Linked DNA regions of Schizosaccharomyces pombe. Changing the gene in region 3 together with the main gene of any one other region gives a genetic interaction. Each region holds a gene or a part of one and is shown on either strand. Other genes may lie near its edges. The genes, in order: mub1, med7, arp6 and mcl1.

Evidence for each region.
Region 1: mutations in arp6 (region 3) and mub1 together harm fitness more than expected from each alone (negative genetic interaction), as found in Schizosaccharomyces pombe (2 studies listed by BioGRID).
Region 2: mutations in arp6 (region 3) and med7 together harm fitness more than expected from each alone (negative genetic interaction), as found in Schizosaccharomyces pombe (2 studies listed by BioGRID).
Region 4: mutations in arp6 (region 3) and mcl1 together harm fitness more than expected from each alone (negative genetic interaction), as found in Schizosaccharomyces pombe (2 studies listed by BioGRID).

The regions. Positions count from the first base shown.
Region 1 is NC_003423.3:3,766,106-3,771,793, reverse strand, and holds mub1 (armadillo-type fold protein, zf-MYND type zinc finger protein, Mub1-Rad6-Ubr2 ubiquitin ligase complex Mub1), read left to right. Parts: upstream 1-1,809; 5' UTR 1,810-2,816; coding exon 2,817-4,541; 3' UTR 4,542-5,188; downstream 5,189-5,688. Other genes in the region: protein Cwf4, read left to right, coding at 1-761; mediator complex subunit Med10, read left to right, coding at 5,513-5,688.
Region 2 is NC_003423.3:4,170,687-4,176,329, forward strand, and holds med7 (mediator complex subunit Med7), read left to right. Parts: upstream 1-1,673; 5' UTR 1,674-1,955; coding exon 1,956-2,201; exon of another isoform or gene 2,202-2,267; coding exon 2,268-3,152; 3' UTR 3,153-3,312; coding exon of another isoform or gene 3,313-4,761; 3' UTR 4,762-5,102; downstream 5,103-5,643. Other genes in the region: ubiquitin ligase Doa10, read left to right, coding at 1-799; adenylosuccinate lyase Ade8, read right to left, coding at 3,313-4,761; SPOM_SPBC14F5.10C (ubiquitin-protein ligase E3), read right to left, coding at 5,566-5,643.
Region 3 is NC_003421.2:1,209,904-1,214,176, forward strand, and holds arp6 (Swr1 actin-like protein Arp6), read left to right. Parts: upstream 1-2,035; 5' UTR 2,036-2,104; coding exon 2,105-2,184; exon of another isoform or gene 2,185-2,255; coding exon 2,256-2,370; exon of another isoform or gene 2,371-2,442; coding exon 2,443-3,453; 3' UTR 3,454-3,756; downstream 3,757-4,273. Other genes in the region: nmd5 (karyopherin), read left to right, coding at 1-1,186.
Region 4 is NC_003424.3:3,282,486-3,287,467, reverse strand, and holds mcl1 (DNA polymerase alpha accessory factor Mcl1), read left to right. Parts: upstream 1-1,715; 5' UTR 1,716-1,722; coding exon 1,723-1,914; exon of another isoform or gene 1,915-1,959; coding exon 1,960-2,111; exon of another isoform or gene 2,112-2,169; coding exon 2,170-4,273; 3' UTR 4,274-4,464; downstream 4,465-4,982. Other genes in the region: DNA-directed RNA polymerase III complex subunit Rpc82, read right to left, coding at 1-721, 801-866; SPOM_SPAPB1E7.01C (uncharacterized protein), read left to right, coding at 4,763-4,982. UniProt on the Schizosaccharomyces pombe protein: Has a role in regulating DNA replication complexes. Acts as a regulator of post DNA replication initiation. Associates with chromatin during G1 and S phases of mitosis. Required for the transcriptional repression of the outer repeats of the centromeric region.

The DNA.
Region 1 (5,688 bases), on a different chromosome or scaffold from region 3:
AAACGTTGGGTCGTGCGTTGGGAATGTGTCCAAAACCAAAATTATTCCGAGGTTATATTGAATTCGAAGACGCAATTAAGCAGTTTGACAGGTGTCGAATTCTTTATGAAAAATGGATTCTTTATGATCCCGAGGCTTGTGCTCCCTGGCTTGGTTACGCTGCCTTAGAGACTAAGCTTGGAGATAGTGATCGTGCTCGCGCTTTATATAATTTGGCTGTAAACCAGCCTATTTTGGAAACCCCAGAGCTTGTGTGGAAGGCTTATATTGATTTTGAATTCGAGGAAATGGAATACGGAAAAGCTAGAAGTATTTACCAGCAGTTACTACGGACTGCACCTCATGTTAAAGTTTGGATTAGTTTTGCAAACTTTGAAATTGCCCATCTGGAGGACGATGACGAAGAACCACCGAATGAAGAAGTGGCTTCTCCAACCGCTGTTGTGCGTGCGCGAAATGTTTTTGAAAATGCATTGGCCCATTTACGCCAGCAGGGTTTGAAGGAAGAGCGAGTTGTATTACTTGAAGCATGGAAACAATTTGAGGCAATGCATGGCACGGAAGATACACGTAAGCATGTCTCTTCACTAATGCCACAGGTTGTTAAGAAACGCCGTAGACTTGAAGACGGTTCATTCGAAGAATATTTGGACTATCTGTTTCCGGATACGGCGACTGATCAAGGAGATAAGATGCGCAAAATGCTCGAACTTTCGCGAAAATGGAAAGAGGAAATGGCTAAAAAGAAGCTGGAGGCCTAGATTACATATGACATTTATTGGCGCTATCAGTTTAATATTTAGTAATCGTGTAAAATATTAGTAATTAATTGTTTACGAGGCAATGGGTCATGTAAATGGACGTTGTTACGAAGTTGAGGATATTCAGCGCTTTGGACTGTTCGGATAATAATAAAATAACTGTTTTTGCATTTGAAAGGCCGGAATGGCGCGTAGAAATAAGACAAGCAATCCATATTAGTATTATTAACCTTGAGTTTCGATCTGAGTTTACTTACTAAGCAAGATAAGCGAAAAATTTATGGATATTATGTTGAGGGAATCACACTTGTAGAAATGAGAAAGTTGTAAACATGACAATTTTGAAGAATCCAACGCAATTCGTAAATAACACATTAAAATACAATAAAATGAAAAATCCAATCCAAAATATATTTAATATGTACATATTTATATTTATAAATTGATTGTTCTTTACCTTGCCCCATTGACATACGATCGAGTATCTACCAGTGCGACTAATTTTAGTTTTGTTACTCAAAGTGGCAGGACTCACAGGTAAAGAAGCGGCTGGTTTGGAGTTGTGCTGATCTGATGAACTTGTCAATCAAATGAGATTACAAAATCTGACATTGGTTATTTTCAGCACTGACAGCTTATTCGGACCGGTTTACCCAAATGTTCTGCTAAAGTGAATTTACAGAATACAAAAATCGGCTTATGCGACCAACGTATTAGGCAACATTTTGACTTAAAAGAAAAAATTCATACACAGATTCTGCTAAAAACTTAAAGACACAAAGATGTTCGTATGAATAAAAAATGACTGACTATAGTGAAAGAAATACCAACTGTTGCTAGTTAAAGTTGCAGCAAGTTTTTTGAGTTATTGTTGCCGAGATGTCGATCTCTTCAAAGGTAACATCCAGCATCAAAGATCGCCGAGAGTTCCCAACCATTATAGCCAGTAACAACCCAGCATACTTTGCGTTATGGTGCCTTAAAGGTACGTTCACTGACGATCGTTTTCAAACTCGGTTGACACTCGGGTGAAATGAAGTTGCCTTCTGTCAACTGCCACTTCCAAGAATCTGAATAAGAGAACGAGGATCCGGGAAATTTTCGTAAAAAGAATTCATTCAATTAAAATTAAGGGACTTGCAAAAACTATTTACTGTGGTTTTTAAGCTAAATCCTTGCGATTATAAGAAAACACTTATTCTTTGTTTATCAACAAGGCTGATTTAGCTTCACCACCGTTTTCCTTTTCCAAATCCTAACATTTTTCTTCGAACTTTACTTTTTTAATTGATGCAAATCATCTTGTGCTATTCTCTCTTCTCTTACTCTTGTCAGCTGTGATTTGATTTTCCACTAATCTTGTCTAAAAAGGTACTGAGCATATCCTTTATTTTTATTTTCAAGGTTATTGTGGTTTTCATCAAACTATTCTTATTCATTCTCTCTTTGTATCTTCGTTAATCTCGGGTTTTTTTTGTTTGCCACTTCTCTCTTTCTTTAGCCTCGTGATTTTAGCAGACCCCGGGTTACAACTTTTTCGTTGTTATACTTCCTATTGTTGAACTTACTTGATCTGTGTCGCTTCTCGGCTAAAAAAGTGCCCTTGCTCCTTACTTCCTTTTTCTTTTAGTATTTTTTTTGCTCCTTTATCAGTTCTTGACTTCAAGCTTGAGCTAACCGTAGTCCCTTTTACGTTTACTCGTTTTGAAGAATAATTGGTGTAGATTGCTTAAAAGGATTTCAAATTCGGCGGGACTTAAAATCTGCGAAAACAGTAATTTTTATTTTTTTTCGTTTTCGTGATTTTGGGGCACTACTTATTCTTCCTGCTATCGGCGTTTGTTCTTGGTTTTTCTCTTCGGTTATTGCGTTTACACACAGCAGTTTTGAAAATTATTGAGTAAAATTTTGGTATTCGAAAACTGCTTGTCTTTAACTAAAAAAAATATTATCACATCGTTCGTTTTACGCCAATCTTTGCGTTTGCCAGTAATTTATACTGCAGCAATTGTCTTTAAAAAACTTTATACGTGTTAAATATATTATTAAAGAAAGATGAGGGAATCGAACGTTAGCATCGTATGGAATAACAAAGCTTCTGTCACTATCAATACAGTCCTTTATGATCGACGTGCGCTTGACTGTGACTCCGAAATGTCATTAATGAATTCATTAAGCCATCTCGTTTATTTGACTTCGACTTCACCGAAAATTCGTGAGATCCTTACTATGGATGGTGGTTTGATGCGTTTAATGAATATTTTACGTGCCGGACGTGGACAAACATTTGCCCGAATGACAATATGGCAGCTAGCTCTTCAGTGTGTCGTAAATGTTGGGATACGTGGGTCTGAAGCTATTCGAATTCGTGTTGTGGAAGCTGGTATCGTTCCTATTGTTGTCACCCTTTTAGATGATTTTTTGTTTGCGCTTGAGTCCGTTGTTTCTCACCATTCTCGATTTCAATTTTCCCTTACACCTTCTACTACCCCTCCTCCATCATCCGCATCTGCTCCATTCCCCATTAATTCTAATATTAGCAATTCTCTTGATTCTGTGTCTCAACACAATTCATCTGCTGACTCTTTGTTCGTCAACGGTGATGTACCATCTCCATTTGGAGCTAGTACGGCAAGCTCTAGCTCTAGAAGAGTTTATTCGGTGGATTTACGGGATAGTGGAGATGTCCAACTTCCAAATCAATCTACGTTTCGACATTCCGTGAATCGTGATTTATTGGGATCAAGCTCTACCACTAGTCATGATCGATCCTCCGGCTCCATTTATTCAAATGATTCATTTCAAGATCCTCGTGTTCAAGCAAACTCTCCATTAACCATTCAAAGAATTTCATCAGCTGCACCCTCTACTCCTACTTCTACTGAAAATGTTAATTATAACATGACTACCCCTTCTTCTCCTTCATACTCTCGTCAAACAGGCCCTGCTAGTGAGACAATTAATGACGAGATAGACTCTCCAAATTTTTTCTTTCCAACTCCGCTTAATATTATGACTACTACTCAGGATTCATCACGGGATGTGCAATTGTCTTTAAATAATGTTCAATCACAGGCCTTGAATAATCGTCAGCGTCGTAATCAACTTTTACCTGGTGTTCCTTCTACATCTGCGTTATTAGATGGCCGCAGGCCCGAAAATGTAGTTGATTATCACGGGATTGCCTCATTCTTTGACAACTTTGATAAGAAGATTAATAAACTCCCTCGTGAAGAAGATATACTTTTTGGTTTGCAAATTCTTGCTTATACTAGTAAAAACTATTTCCATATGCGTCCTTACTTCGAGTCTTCTAAAGATGTTCCAAGTTTACGTATGTCGCCCTTACGTAGCGGCAGTAAAACGTGGAATATTTTTCAGTTAGTCGAGCAGTTCACCTTGAAATTCTACCCCCCACAAGTTCAATACTGGGCCAGAGCTATCATGAATAATTACTGTCGGAAAGATGAAAGTCATGGTGGTATACGTCGATGCGCCAATTTGTTATGTAACAAATGGGAAGAGCACAGTCGTCAATTTGCTAAATGCAGAAGATGCCGACGTACAAAATATTGCAGTAAAGAATGCCAGCATCAAGCATGGCCGGGACATAGTCGATGGTGTCGCGTAATTCATAAAGATGGCAGGAATTCCAAACGAGAGAGCTCAAAAATAAACTCAGTCACTGAAAGCGAATCAACAGCATCCCCGGCTGCATCTGTTATTCCTGTTGGAACAGAATCTGTAACTTCAAGCACTCAGAGTGATAGCAGATTGTAGTACTAATGACAGTTTAATGACAATTTCTATCCATTTCTTACTAGGTATGCTTACGCTTCAAATAGACTTACAGTTGGAGGTCACACATATTCTTTTAATCATTTTTCCGGCATTCAATACTACGTTTTGAATTCATTCCTTAATTCCCTTTGCCATCAATTATTATTTCATGTGCCGTGAAGAATATGAATTTCAGCTAACTCTTTACTCGCAATTAAGTTAATCGTTTAACCTTTTTTTATGCAATTAATTGCCGATACATTCAGATTTGTTCTTCTTATTATGGATATCGTGTGGTTTTAGCAGGGCAATAATCATGAAAGCTTTTGAAACCTACAGGGAGGTACGAAGGTGTGGAGGCCACTGTCCTAATTTATTAAAACTTCGAGTTTCTTTTCCGACTGTCCTTCTGTTGCTTATCGTTTTTTCTCGTAACTTAAATGCTTTTACTTAAAATAATAAACTTTTTTCTTTTCAACTTGTTTTTGTTTGACTTGGTTACTTATTAATAAATTAGTCAAAAATTATACATAGCTTTTTCGGAATAGTTAAACCTATGAACAGGGCTAAAGCAATACGATGTGATATTGCATGAAGGCTAAAGCTTTTTGTACTTGTATACCTGGAAGTCAAGAAATAGATCGTACTAATGATGCTTTCGCTAAATTGACTAAACGAAAGTATTATTTCAAGTTATCTTGTCTGTTGACGCTAATATTTATAGAACATTTAGGAGGAATCAATATTATAATGAATTCAGTATTTCTCTATTAGTAGAACAGACTTTGTAATTTGCTTATTACTATAAAATTAAACCAACTCACTTGCAAATAGTGAACTGGAAGAAGTACCGTAGTTTAAGCATAACCATTATACAGTTGAGACAGCAATAAATTGAAGGCTGCTGTATTCAGTGCACTTGTGCTGCATTAAATTGATCTTTAAACCTATTTTTATCTTTGGTTTTCGAAATGCTGCCCCAAGATGACATGACTGATGAAATGAAATCATTGGCAAGCCGTTTAGAAGACACCACTCAGGCTTTTTATGACTTGGCATTGATCGTTTATAACCTTGAAGATACTACTCCATCTGATGCCATTCCTGAAAGCCTTGATACTCTTATCAGAGATCTCAAATCTCTTCC
Region 2 (5,643 bases), on a different chromosome or scaffold from region 3:
ATTGTTAGTGTTTGTTCCACTTTCATTAGGAAGAGCTATTTATGCTTGGTGCTTTCCTAATGTGGTAAAGCACGATTTTTATGCTTACGCCATTGGATTTTACTCTATTTCTTTTCCAATGTATGCAATTCACGCGTCTGTTAAGTTTCTGAAACTTGACTATTTACGAAGCCTTATGAATAAACTAAATTTAAAAATTGTTATGAGGAGCTTAGTAATGGCGTTAAAATATCTTTTATTAGCATTCCTTGGAATATTTATCTTACCACTCTTACTTGGAGCTATATGGGAATTATACGTCGCTATACCTTTCCGAACGATATTTAACAGAGGGACTCTTGCTCTCGATGCATTCCAAAACTGGGTGATTGGTCTTTTTATGCTTCGTATGATATATTTTACTGTGACTTCTAATGAAGAGCGTTTCGTTTCAAGGTTGTTTCAAGATGCTTTTCGTGATAGATGGACGAATCCTCAAATTCTTCCATTATTAAAAAATGTTCTCATCCCTTTTACATCAGCCTTAATAGCCGCCGTTGTGTTGCCAAGTGTTTTTACTTACGTAACCTATCCTTTTCTTTCATCCATTTTCCCTTCTGCATCTAAAACCCTTATGTATCGGTTGATGCATCCTATATTTTTAGCATTACTTGGGCTAGCACTCTTGGGGCGCCGTTTTGTAGAAACTAGTAGTAAATGGTCGCAAGGAATACGTGATGATTTATACTTAGTTGGTACGAGACTGCACAACTTTGGCGAATCTGCTCCTCCAGCCATTTCTGAGTCTGCCGAAAAATAAAAGTCTAGTCATCTACTATTTTTCAGATTATCCTTCTCTTTGGAAAACTGGAGCGAGGACATCTGAAGTAATATAGAGCATTGTGAATGTATATTATTTGAATGATGTTTTTGTTTTAATTGCTACGAAACTGTTAGTTTAGTTGCAGGAAATTACAAAAAGTCATCGTTTGAACAATTGGTTTGTTATTGTTATATTGCCAGGCATCTTATCCAATTTATCGTAACTGGTATTATCATGATATGGTGCTATTTATTTAATTTTCTTTACAAAATTGAACAAATATCAATTATCGTTGAATTTCTTTGATGTATCTGATGACTGTATCAAACCGTAGCAGCGAAAATTTGCAGACAATCACTAGCAATGGATAAATTAGTTAATTACTAAAAAGAAACAGTTATAACAAATATGTTTACTACGGTTATGTGACAAATTTATGAAAATGTAAAAGTTCGTAGTATTGCATGTGTTGATTTTGTAATCCATTCAATACTAACTAATCCTTCGTATAGAGGAATATCAAAATACTTTATCACTTAATCAATTTAAATTTTACGATTATGTTGGCCTAGTAAAATATTCATGTTAAGGATTTTATGGCATTCAACAATAGCGATAAGCTGTAATATTACAAGTAATAAACTCCTACTTAATTCGTTTCCAAGCCCATTTATTAAAAAGAATAATTCAGTGTTGTTAAAAGAAACACTGCAATTCTCTAAAAATTAAAAAAGCCAAGAAGTGTATAATTTTAAGCTACTTTAATCAGTGAAACTAATTTAAAACCAAGAATGATTAAAGATATCGAAATAAACAATTTATAGCAAAATTTATTGGTGATAGAAGCTTTCACTTCGTATTCCATATGCCAGATAAAACTACCCACTTTTACTGACTATTCCAAAATCCATTTTGAGCAAAAGATCGGTTATTTTCAAGTGTTTTTATATTCAGGATTTTCATGTCAATCAGTTATTGAGCGTCATATCGTTGTTCAATTACGGTTTTCTTAACATTATAGAAACTGCTTTTCTAAAAAAAAAAAGAAAAAAAAAGAGCAGGCATTTTTATACTAAGAATCAGCGATAAAAGGGAAGACAGTTACATCAATCTAAAATCTAGTTTACGATAAATACTATTTAACTAAAAGAGAATGGAACCAAACGAAGGAGTACAACTGTTTTCGGCTTTTCCGCCTCCACCTCCATATTATAAGTTATTTACAAGAGAAAACATAGAAAAAGTAATTTCAAATATGGAGAAAGAAGCAAAACATGAGGATGACGCGAATACTTTACAACCTAAGACTGAAGAAGAAATAGAGTCGCTGGCCAAGCTGTTTAAGAAGCCGTCATGTCTCACATCTGGGACTTATCAAATGTTTGGTGACACATGGAGGGTAAGTTTATTTTTATTGTTTTACATTAGCTGCTTTTCATCTCTCACTAACTTATATCGCTTATAGCTAGACGAAGCTATACCTTCACTCAAAGAATTTGGAATCCCTGAATTATATAAAGATATAAAAGATGGAGAAGATGAAATTGAAGTGGTAGAATATGATCCTAAATCCAATGCGATAGTTGGTACTAGTTTTACTCGTGTACACGATTATGATAAAAATTCACCAATTGAAAATGAAAAAATTCTGGAGGATGATCAACATACGGCCATGAAAGAAAAAGATAATGAATCTGATAAGACAATGAAAGATGTCGAGGAAAAGACTGAGCCCTCTCTTAAAAAGGAAGAGGAGGATATACAAATGAAGGAACCTTTAGATTCTCAAGATACTGGAGCTGTTTCAGCTTCTTCGGTAAACGAAGGTTTCCGGGCAGATCAAAAATCAAAGGATGGAGAAACGAGTGATTTGATAAAAATTCCCCGGCGAGCTTATGAACTACGATTTTTATCCCGCTCACTTATGCTTAACTTTCTTGAACTCCTAGGGATTATGGCGAAGGCACCCGAACAGTTTCCTTCTAAGGTTGAAAACATTAGGGTGTTGCTGCTCAATCTCCATCATTTAATTAATGACTATCGTCCACACCAATCTCGTGAATCTTTAATTATGCTTTTAGAAAAACAATTAAAACATGAAGAGTCGCAGGTTGAGCTATTACGTACTCATAACCGGCAAATGACCGAAACTTTGGAAAAGTACAAATCATTAGATTTTAATATGGAGAAGGAAGGAGATGTGATTCAACAATTAAAGTCGTCAATAAAAAAGCCATTGTCAGGCGCTGAAGATGAGCAAAAGTCTAGGTCTATGTTCTCAAAAAATGACGAGAAATTAAAAAAATCGCTTGAATTAATGGAAGACGTGATAAAACGAGATCTTAGCTAATAAACCGGTTTATCTAGTAGAGTTATTTTGCTATTTCCTCTGCTTTTAATATTTGTTTTACAAACAAAAATTCATACTAACGATGAAAAAAATGTATTCTTTCTATTTTAAACAAATCAAAAAAGTTCGTATCCACTACGAAGCAAACCAAAATTTATATTTAAACGGCAAGATCAACCTTTTCCTCAGTGATCATGCTCTTGAAAGGCGCAAGCGCTTGAGAGACGTCCTTATTTACAAAGGATTCAGTCTGCTCGGGAGCACGTCCAACAAAAGTGGATGCATCCAACAAAGAATCTAGCTCATCATAAATAGGAGCAAAATAAGGAGTATTCTTAATACGCTCAATTAAGTCGTTATCCCCTCCCTCTTCCTTGACTACTCGGCCAGCTTGATGAGACAAGACACGAATCTGCTCGTGACACTCATGACGACTAGCACCGTGCTTAGTCATAGCCATGATAATGTTTTCAGTGGCCATGAAGGGCAATTCAGCACGAATGTGTTTTTGAATAACCTTAGGATAAATGACCATACCAGAAATAACGTTCAATAGAATCTTAAGAACGCTATCTGTAAACAAGAAGGCTTCAGGTAACAGAGAACGACGGTTAGAGCTATCATCCAAAGTACGCTCAAACCATTGAACAGAAGCAGTATTAAGAGCATTAGGAATCAAGTTCATAATATAACGAGCTTGAGAACAAATACGTTCACAACGCATTGGATTACGCTTGTAAGCCATAGCAGAACTGCCAATTTGACCAGCCTCAAATGGCTCTTCTACTTCTTTCAAATTAGCAAGGAGACGGATATCAGTTGCAATCTTATGAGCAGTAGCACCGAAAGAAGCTAATGGTTGCAAAACGTCAATATCGATCTTACGATCATAGGTTTGGCCGGTTACAGGATAAACGTTATCAAAACCGGAAAGCTTGGCAACCAATTTATCCAATTCCTCAACCTTGGCATGATCGCCCTCAAAAAGGGCTAAGAAGGAAGCCTGAGTGCCGGTGGTACCCTTGACACCACGGAAACCAATGTCATTTCTAGCTCTTACAAAATTTCTCAAATCCCATAAAAGCTCTTGAATCCAAAGAGTGGCACGCTTACCAACGGTAGTTAATTGAGCTGGTTGATAATGTGTAAACCCAAGAGTAGGAATGTCTTTGTATCGCAAAGACCACTGGCTAAGACGATTGATAACGTTGACTAACTTAGGGATCAAAAGATCCATGGCGCTGCGTAAGAAAATCAAGTCAGCATTATCGGTTACAAAACAGCTAGTAGCACCCAAATGAATAATACCAGAAGCAGCAGGAGCAGCAAGACCATATGTATAGATGTGAGCCATAACATCGTGTCTCTGACGCTTCTCTTCCTTAGCAGCGATTTCAAATTCTGGAGCTGTAATTTTGACATGCGCTTTAAGTTGCTCAATAGCTTCATCAGTAATTTGAGTTAAACCGAGTTGCTTTTCAGCAATGGCGAGATTCAACCACAATTGTCTCCAAGTATTAATACGCATTTCTCTTGAAAAGAGATGAGACATTTCAGCAGAAGCATATCTTGCTGTCAATGGTGTACTATATGAACCATAATCCTCCATATTCGATAATCTTAAGCTCGCCAAAAAATTTCTACCTGTTGTGGTGAATGGACAGTGAGGAACCAACACTAAGTAGTGCTCTACAAATGCTCCACCTTGAGAAGACCATCAGATTTATTATTTTGTAATTTCCATATTAATTAGTTAACGCGCATGAAAAATCAAACGATAATTTATTGTGCCTCCATGCTTCATATGTAGTATTCACCTAACCCACCAAGCAAATCAATTGAAGATCAAGTATAGAGGAGTAAAGGTGCCTTTCCACATATGTTAGCAATATTACAAAAGGGGTTATAAATTTACTTTAACCAATGCCTAAGTAAGAAAAAGACAGAGACCACTTCGTCAATTGAAACTTGTATTCTTAAACTAGTGAATATGAAATGTGAACTAGTAAGAGCAGAAAATTAATTTCTCTATAATGCCAAAATCTACTTCATCAGCAGATAACGAAAACCAAAATTATTTTGGATTATACTATTAAAATATCTTCACAGTGAAAAAGTAATAAACAAAAAACCATCAAGAAAAATAAATATTAAAAGTTGCAAACATCAACTATTAAATAAAGTGTGAAACAAAAAGAGAATTCTTGCTGTATTGGCATGGGTGTTTTTAAATTGGTCAAAGAAATATTCATGACAATCAACCCCAGATATTCTCAGATGCCAAGAATTAAGTGCTCATTTGTATAGGGTAATTAGATGTATTTTGATCGTTTTCGAGATAACCTTTCAGTAAATCAAAGGCTATATTTTATGGCCCATACAAAGGGCGCGCGACTTCAACTACAATTAAAACTCAAGCAATGGTGCAAGCACTTCCAACACGATACCACCAACTTTCTTGAAGTTGAGTTAACCAAATAAGAACCAAAAC
Region 3 (4,273 bases):
AAGTCTCGAGAACACGGTTGATGTCTTACGTGAAATTGAAGCAATCTTACTTCCAATGATTAATTTTGTATTAGATAACAACATTTTTGACGTGTATGCAGAGTTGTTTGAAATTATCGATGGTTGCACTTTTGCTTCTAAGGAGATATCCCCTATTATGTGGGGCGTGTATGAAAAGCTTCAAAAGGTGTTGAAAGAGTCTGGCATTGAGTTTGTAGAGGAGGCAACTCCTGCCTTAAGTAACTTTATCACGTATGGTGGAAAGGAATTTGCTTCCCGTCCTGATTATATCGCCGTTATGGTTGATATTATCATGCAAGTTTTTAATAGCGAGCACCTGGCCGTCAATGACCGTGTTTCGGCTTGTAAACTAACCGAACTTTTAATGCTTAATTATCGTGGCCTTTTGGATCAATATGTGCCTGCGTTTATTGAGGTTGCTGGTAATCTCTTACTTGTAACTGAAAAGCCAACTTCTCAAACATACCGCGTATTTTTGTTGGAGGTTATAATCAATGCATTATATTATAACCCATCGATGTCTCTTGGGGTACTTGAAATGCATCAGTGGACTTTACCATTCTTTGCGTTATGGTTTGAAAATATACCTTCGTTTACTCGTGTGCATGATAAAAAGTTGAGTTTGGTAGCTATTTTATCGGTAATTTCACTGGGAGCTCAACAAGTTGCTGTTGCTATCCAAGACTCTTGGGGTAATATAATGAAAGTCATGATAACTCTTTTAAATACACTACCTGAAGCATTAGCTGCTCGCGCGGAATTAGAAAAAGAGTATGACGGTGAAACATTTAATTTATCTGGCTCTGGTTGGAATGATGGCATCGATTGGGAAGCCGATGATGATGAGGGTGTCGATGACTTTGCCGTCGAATATGGGGGACCTGATTTGGGTGGAGAAATCTCGGCTGATGTGGTTGACGATTTTGACGAATTTGAGCATTTCCAAGGAAATTACTTGTTGGACGAGGATCCTCTTTTCCATACTTTGTTAGATCAAGTTGATCCATTTTCACTTTTCCAAGAGTTTATGGTTCATTTAAAGGACAACAGCCCTGTCACATTACAAGATCTTGTCAAAAATTTGGAAGCATCCGAGCAGCAATCCTTACAGAGATTGGTAACTGAAAAACCCTCTACCCTTGCTGTCGCTTCCGATAAAACATGAGCCTGTTTGGCGCTCTAAGCCTGTCCAATTTTGGTAATAAAATATAAAAATATAAAACAAGCATTTTCTACACAGTGGTAATAAGCCAAACTGACATATTTGAACGGCTCTTTTTAAATGGGAAATCAAACTCTACGGGTTTGTAAAAATAATTTCTTCAATGAGATACGACCCGGAATTATGGCTTGGGAAAAATGGATGGAGGGTTTGTCTAAAGGGAAGGCTAAGAAAATTATTGTTGTATCGGTTTACAGTTCGGTGAAAACAAACGCAGAGGTGTGTTTCTTTTATAAGAATTTTGGAACGCCAATTGATTAAATGAAATTTAAAATCATAATATACCAGTTAATAAATATGAGAAGTTTTAAAATCGATTAATACTAGTTCATTTGCTTTTACTTTATGCGAATTGACAAACGCAAGTTGATGAGAAAATGAAATAGAAATATATTTTTCTTGAGGAAATAAGCATAAAGTTAAGTATCCACGATTTAGTAGTATAGGGAAAGTCGGTGTTTATGAATGGTATATTAGATGTACGTTGAATTAAGCAGCTAACTAAATTGATAACGGCTAGTTTAGGGGTTGGATAATATGATAAACGGCTTTTACAAACTAAATTTGATAGACAGCCCCCCATTAACGATGTTGTTATATTGATAAAGCTAAGATTTGCAAGATTTATCTTTAAAGTTATTTTAAAAAGATATCCTTCAAATTTATGATATTATTAAAAATATCATAAATATCTTTAAGAGCCAGCGTTATTATACTATTGCTTCAAACTGTAATGATATTGTTGTTATAGCACAACGCTATCATATAACAGCATTCCAAAGCCGTAACAACAGTACATTTAATCGCGGTTTTTGGGTGAAGTTAAGACCTAAGATATAGGAATACATTTTTATTAATAATATGGGACTACCCCCTAAAACTATTGTTTTAGACAATGGGGCATACCATATAAAAGCTGGATTTGCAGGTGGAAAAGTTGTGTAAGAAGAAGTGCATCACGTCAATAAATTTCATGTATCTTTTACTTTTTTCAGCTAACGATAGTTTTTAGTGAAATTCCGAATTGTTTGACGAGATCAAAAGATGGAAACAGATTATTTTTGGGGAATGAATTGGCCAACTGTAACGACTTTACAACTTTACAATTTCGCAGGGCGCATGAAAAGGTACAGCATTTATGAGGGAGTATTATTTACGAACAAAATAAATACAAAGATTATGTTTACTAATACTAGTAGGGGTATTTGGTCCATTGGAGCACAGAAACAGCCGTATGGGACTTGGTAATGCGCAATGTAGGTGTGATGGAACCTAGCATGGCAGACTATTCTTTACTGCTTACACAGCCCGTATTTACAATGCCTTCCATAGAACACAATACTATACAACTCGTGTTTGAGGAATTCCAATTCGATGCTTACCTCCCTTGCACCCCAGCTGAGCTAATTCCTTGGGATCATGGAAGTTTCACAATGAATCAAGAAGATGCGTATACTGGTCAACATGGAGAATGCGTTTTGGTAATTGACTCTGGATATAGCTTTACACACATAATTCCTGTGATTGATTTCTCTGTTCAAGAACAAGCGGTAAAGCGAGTTGATGTGGGAGGGAAATTACTTACGAATTATTTAAAAGAAGTCATCTCATACCGGAAGTACAATATGATGGAAGAAACATACATTGTTAATGAAATTAAAGAGTCCGTTTGTTATGTGTCTCAAAACTTCAAGGAGGACATGGAGATATGTCACGAAAAACCACGGTCAAAATTGGAAATTTGTTATGCTTTGCCCGATTACAGCACTGGAAAACATGGATATATTGTTAGAGATATTAATCAAAAAATAGAGCAACAAGTTTTGAATCTTTCAAATGAGAGATTCATGATACCAGAATTATTATTTTCCCCATCTGATATCGAAATACGTGAGGCTGGGATTCCAGAGGCGGTCATGCAAAGTGTCACCCACTTTCCTGAAAATATACAGGCAATGTTGCTTGAAAATGTTGTTACAATAGGAGGAAACTGTAAATTTCCCGGATTTCATAAAAGACTATCATCTGAATTACGGTCGCTGGCACCAGCTAATTGGGAAGTTAAAGTTTTTGAACCTTCAGATCCTATTTGCTTTCCATGGAAAAAGGCATCTCATATGCCGTTGGAGCACTGGAATGCGAATAAAATAACTCGTTCTGAGTACTCAGAACATGGAGCAAACATAATGACACGAAAAAGGAGAATATAATAGATCACCATTTTAAAACTCAATAATGTGGGTTAAATTTCTATCTTCACAAAATTCTCAAGGCGAGCTGATAATTCGCATCTTAAGAAATTGGTTTATTACATTAAGGCTACAGCAATATAAAACGAAAAATATGCATGCATTAAGAATAAAATCTTTTTATATTAATTAACGAATCATTCTATCTCTTGATCAACCACTAAAACAACAGCTAAATAACTATATCTTTATTATTGTCGCCAGGATAATTCATACCTAAAAAGCGTTAGCGAAATGAAAGATATTATAAAAAAGATAGGAATGAAAATCAGTATACAAGTATAAAAATTTAACCACATAGTTGTGTCTTCAAGACTAATCGATTTGTAAAGCATCATATGTAACATTCTATCTCTTCAAGTGTTTATACTTACATATTATTAATGTGCCTGAAAAACAAGATTGAAAAAAAAGAAAAATTTCAGCACTTCTTCACTACTGTTTCAAGTGCATTTTATATGTACAGTGCAGTTTCAGGTTGACAGTATAAGAGTTAAAGCAACCTTGAGTTAGAGCAGTCACGGTATACTACTTTAATTAGAATGTAGCGCGTTGCGTTGCAATGTAGTCGTGTCGCGTCTGTTTACATTTTGGATAGAAAGAGCTTTTCGTGAAATTTTGTTGCTTCTGTTGGATAAATTGTTCTTTTTCTCAAGTTAATCATATAATTCAGTAAAGGAAAACTGTGTAATAAGAAGAATCGAGATCCCAAATTATTTCTGTTGAGCCTTGTTCATGGGCTACATATATTTTCCCTCACATTTTCAACAGTAAAGCCTTA
Region 4 (4,982 bases), on a different chromosome or scaffold from region 3:
CGGATAGATCAGGTACAAGGATGCTATTATCATCGTCTAATATATTATTCAAATCCGTTGATACAGACGGAGCAGAGCCAACAGCACGTTTCCTTCTTTTTGTTGGATGTGGTATTGATTCCTTTGGCTTCCTGGTAAGTCCTTGTAGTTCTGACATATCTGCTGCACGAAGCTCTAACATTTCCAAGGCGACAGAATCATCAACCTCTCTATTTTTTTTTATTTCAGACACGTTTTCTGACTTTCTGCGATCTAAGTGCTTGATCCGGAGTTGCATTTCCTGATCTCCTACTGGTATTAAATGTCTCGGTTGCACTACTAGCAAAAACTTTTGGTAAATCAATTCCGTTAGATTTTTCTGCATCATACGGCTTTCTTCATCACTCCCATCAACCTTTTTATCGAAAGCATTGAATACTTCGAGTACACGTGCACGTCCTTGGGTACTAAGATATTTTACCACAGAGGCAGCCTCCTGGTTTAATTTTTGAGATATCAAATATACATCTTTACCTTTGCGAAGAATGTTATAAATTTCCTTCCATTGGGTCTCATAATATGTGACTTCACGTACATTTTCAATGACCGTAACGTACAAAACCATATGATGCTGCATTAAACTGACAAGTGCTTGTCGAATTTTTGGTCCTGGCAACGAAGTCCGTTTTTGTAGCATGGGAATCGTTAAACGACCATGCCTCAAAAGTGCACTAGCTACTGCCTAAATTGACAATAAATTGGTTAATACAAAAGACTTTGCAACCTCAACTTCAGATTTAGAAATACAATTGAATCCTTACCGAGCAACAATCACCGAAAAATTCCTCTACGAGAATCTCACACAGTTCTACAGCATACTGTGACATGATCAAGCAGATTACCAATCTTGCTTGGAATGGTAAATTGTTTGGCAGACGTAACTACAAAAAAGCAAAGATTTCACAACCTAGAGTATGCCAATAGCCTGTATTTTGTGCGTCGTTAAAGCAGCGTTAACATTTATAGTGTATCACTCTAATACAGAATAAAACTTTAACGATGTGCAAAAACGATTTTCATATTACTTTTTGAAAAAATACATACATATAATTACTGCGAGTATTAAATGAATGATCGAAATCTAATTGTATGATTAATTTATTTAACTTCTTTTTAATTTTCCTGTGAGAGGCTCCACTAGGTTTCTCAATTCCATTTCCATGTCGTTGATTTTTTGTGGTTTAATCAAGCATGACTTATCTGCAGATTCTGTTTTATAGCTTGTCATGGTAAGCATTAATTAAAATACTAAAAGACAATAGCTAATTGCATATTTTTCCTCCATTTAGAATATTGCTGTGCGGCTGTTTGAACATTTATAGCAGACATTTCAAAACTTTTTAACAGAACTGCTCTAATGGAACATCAAATACAACTTCAGAGTAATTAAAAAAAGCTCTGAAATGATTAAAGTTAAATTATTCCTATAGTCTCACATATAAGTTACTTTAGTATTAATTTCTAATTGTTAGCAGATGATTAAAAGCATGGATTGCATATTTTCAATCGTACTTGCATATGAAAATAAATTGTAGACAAACATTTGCAATTTCTCAATAGTGCTTTCGTGGTAGATTTTTTATTTAAATGTTTGTTTACATTAAATAGCGTAACTAGCTAACGAAAGTATCGCTATTGCCATACTAGTCCCAATCTCATATACAAACTCTTCCTCTAGCTATTATGGCAGGGAATAGGCTAGTTCCTAGATATGCCCATACAGATGGACTGACGCGTCTAGCGTATACTCGTGATGGGAAATTTCTTCTTACGGTCGGTTCTAATCAAGTAATCCGAAAATTTCAGGTTGGTTCTGATGAGGAACCCGACTCCATTGATAATCATCAAGATCCTATAACAGGAATTGCAGTTGCTGTAAGTGGTCCTCAAAAAAGTTTGGAGCTAATGACTTTTATATAGGAAAATTATTTTTGTACTTGTTCAGAAGATGCAACTGTCTGCGTATATCCCATCGATTCTCCTACCGAGCATACATTGCTGGCGCGTACTACTCTTCCTATTCGCGATGTGGCATATTCAGTAGATGGAAATTGGATTGCCATAGCTAGTGAGTAAGTTTTTTTTAGTGTATAATGCTCTACTTGGTCGTTTTCAGCCTAACAAATATAGTGAAACAGCAGTGAAAGTGGTTTCGTCCACTGATTCTTCACAAATTTTCTCTCTTCGTCCAGCTAAGGCTTCGAATAAACATGTAACTTATAGCCCGAACGGAAATTTTTTAGCAGTTTCCAGTTGCAATGGAATTTTGTATTTTTATGACACCCAAACTCGTGAACTCATCAAGTTCTTAACAAACACTATTGCCTCTTTAGAGGCAGAATCAGAAATTTGCTCAAAGGCGGCTTGGCATCCTAAAAACGGGACATTTGCAGTTGCGAGTACCGACCATTTTGTATCAGTTATTTCCCCTGATGACTGGCTTCCATTGTACAAACTTCTTCCAAAAGAGAATCATTCTGGTGTAACAGATATCTCCTGGTCCAGTAATGGAATGTACATAGCTGCTTCATTTAAAAAAGGAGGCATTTTAATTTGGGATACACAAAGTCATGAAGTAGTCGTTGAGCTCCCCTATAGTACAGTGGTGGCACTCGCCTGGCAGCCATTTGAAAACGTGTTATCATTTACTACAAATCAGGGAATTTTGTATTCATGTCCGGATGTCATTCCTAAATCAATATTGAAGGAAGAAAATGATCCTACGAAGCCTTTGACTTCGTCAAAAAGTAAAAACCGTACTTCCAAAGAGCTTGATGATCTTTTTGGTTCTGACGATGAGCAAAGTCAGAACGTCAATGATTTGGATGGGAACTCTGCCAACGAGGAAAATGAGTTTATCAATCATGATGGATTGGATTCATCTTTGGACCTAGATGGTGATAGTTATATGGTTGATGAAAACGACTTAAACCTTGCAAAGAAAAGAAAGCAGAAGGCGTTGATCGACAGAACTACAACAATAGAGAATGGTTCTAGTAAAAGACGTTTACTGCAAGCCTCAATACATAAACCCGTTCATACTGGAAGTACACCATGGCAGGGTAATAGAAGATATCTATGTTTGAACTTGGTAGGGTTTATCTGGACTGTACAGCAAGATGCAGAACACAACACTATAACGGTTGAATTTCATGATGAAACTACTCATAGAAAATATCACTTTGTTGATGACCAAAAATTTGAAATGGCATGCTTAGATCATGAAGGTGCTTTGTATGCTTCGCCTGCAACGGAAAGTTCACCTGGTGTTATTTATTATAAAGCACATGTTGATTGGTCGCGTAAATCTGAATGGGCAATGGCTTTACCCATGGAGAATGAAAGTCCTGTGACAATTTCATTAAGCTCAAGCGTTGTACTGGTATGTACGAGTGCTGGATATGTTCGCGTATTCTCAAGACAAGGCTTTCCAATTAGCATTCACAGGAGTAAACACTTGCCATTTGTAGCTTGTTCATCTTTTCAGGATACGATTATAACCATCGCCAACGATGGTTTGAGCTCTGATGGAAATTCTCGTCTTGTTTATTCCATTGAAGACATTTCTCGTGATGAAATGTTGCAAACTGGTGATGGGGTTGCATTACCACCCCAAGGAACGTTAGAGAGTGTTTTCTTTTCGGATGTTGGAGATCCTTACATCTACGATTCAACTGGGGTATTGTTGGTATTAATGCATTGGCGCATACCAGGACAAGCCAAGTGGATCCCTGTTTTAGATACAAATGAATTGGAGCGTCGCAAATCACGGCAAGAGTCTTATTGGCCTGTAACTGTTGCCGATAATCAGTTTCACTGTATATTGCTAAAAGGAGCCTCTCGATATCCCTATTTCCCTCGTCCGATGTTTACAGAATTTGACTTTCGTATTCCTTGTAATACGAACAATCCGGATGCTTCTACATCTGTTCCTGTTTTAGAAGAACTACAACTCCGTAATAAACTATTTTTGACTTTATTGGAAGATAGCATAGGAGATGGCGATGTTACGGAGGACGAAAAAATAAGCATTGCTAGACTAGAAGCTAACATTGACAAAGCCTTGTTGCAACTTATTCAAAAGGCTTGTCTCGAGGAAAGAATCGAACGTGTCTATGAATTGACAAAAACTTTGAGAAGGACAACAAGTATTGCTGCTGCTCAAAAGATTGCGCTCCACCATTCCCTTACAAATGTTGCTGAAAAAATTGGTAATCTACTATCTAACGTCTAAACCCTCACGTCTTAATTTTTATGTAACATTATTTTTTGCATATTAGTAGCTTGAGCTAATCAAAAGGGGTTTGAAGCAAAGCTATGCAGAAGTTTTGTCACGATCTTGCTCCTTTCTAAATTCATTTATATAAGCATCTAGCACTTTGATTTTTTTCTCATTTTTGTATTTAATAAACACATTTCATTTTGTTTACCATATAACCTCTATGTTTATATGTCAGTATATTCGGCATATATTTCGAGTCTATTTAGAAATTGCACAGGGGTACAAAAAATTGATTCATAAGAAAAGGTGGAAACATTTTTTAAAATGACAAAGAGTCACAAAGGAATTTGTATTCTTTTCCTTTCTGAAATGAAATAAAATCTAATGTAGAAACTGCAAAGCTCAGTGCCTTAGGGTGCGTTACAGTTCGTAAAGTTGCAGACACTAAGTGCAGTACAACTTTGTAAAGTGCCAAGCTGCAAACGAAAACACAATTTTAGCATGGAACAAAAAGTGAGTGCGGATGTGTTATTGAATAAATATCAAACATCCATAAGCATCACAAAAAACTTAATCAATTCGTGGTTGGGAAACGAAAATACATCTGTCAGTAGCGATGAAAAAAATGACGATCCACCGTTACAAGCTAGGCCGCCACGGTTAGGGTTGGGTGCTAGTAGAAAAGACCAGTCAGAAAACAGCTGGGTTACTTCCAAAAATG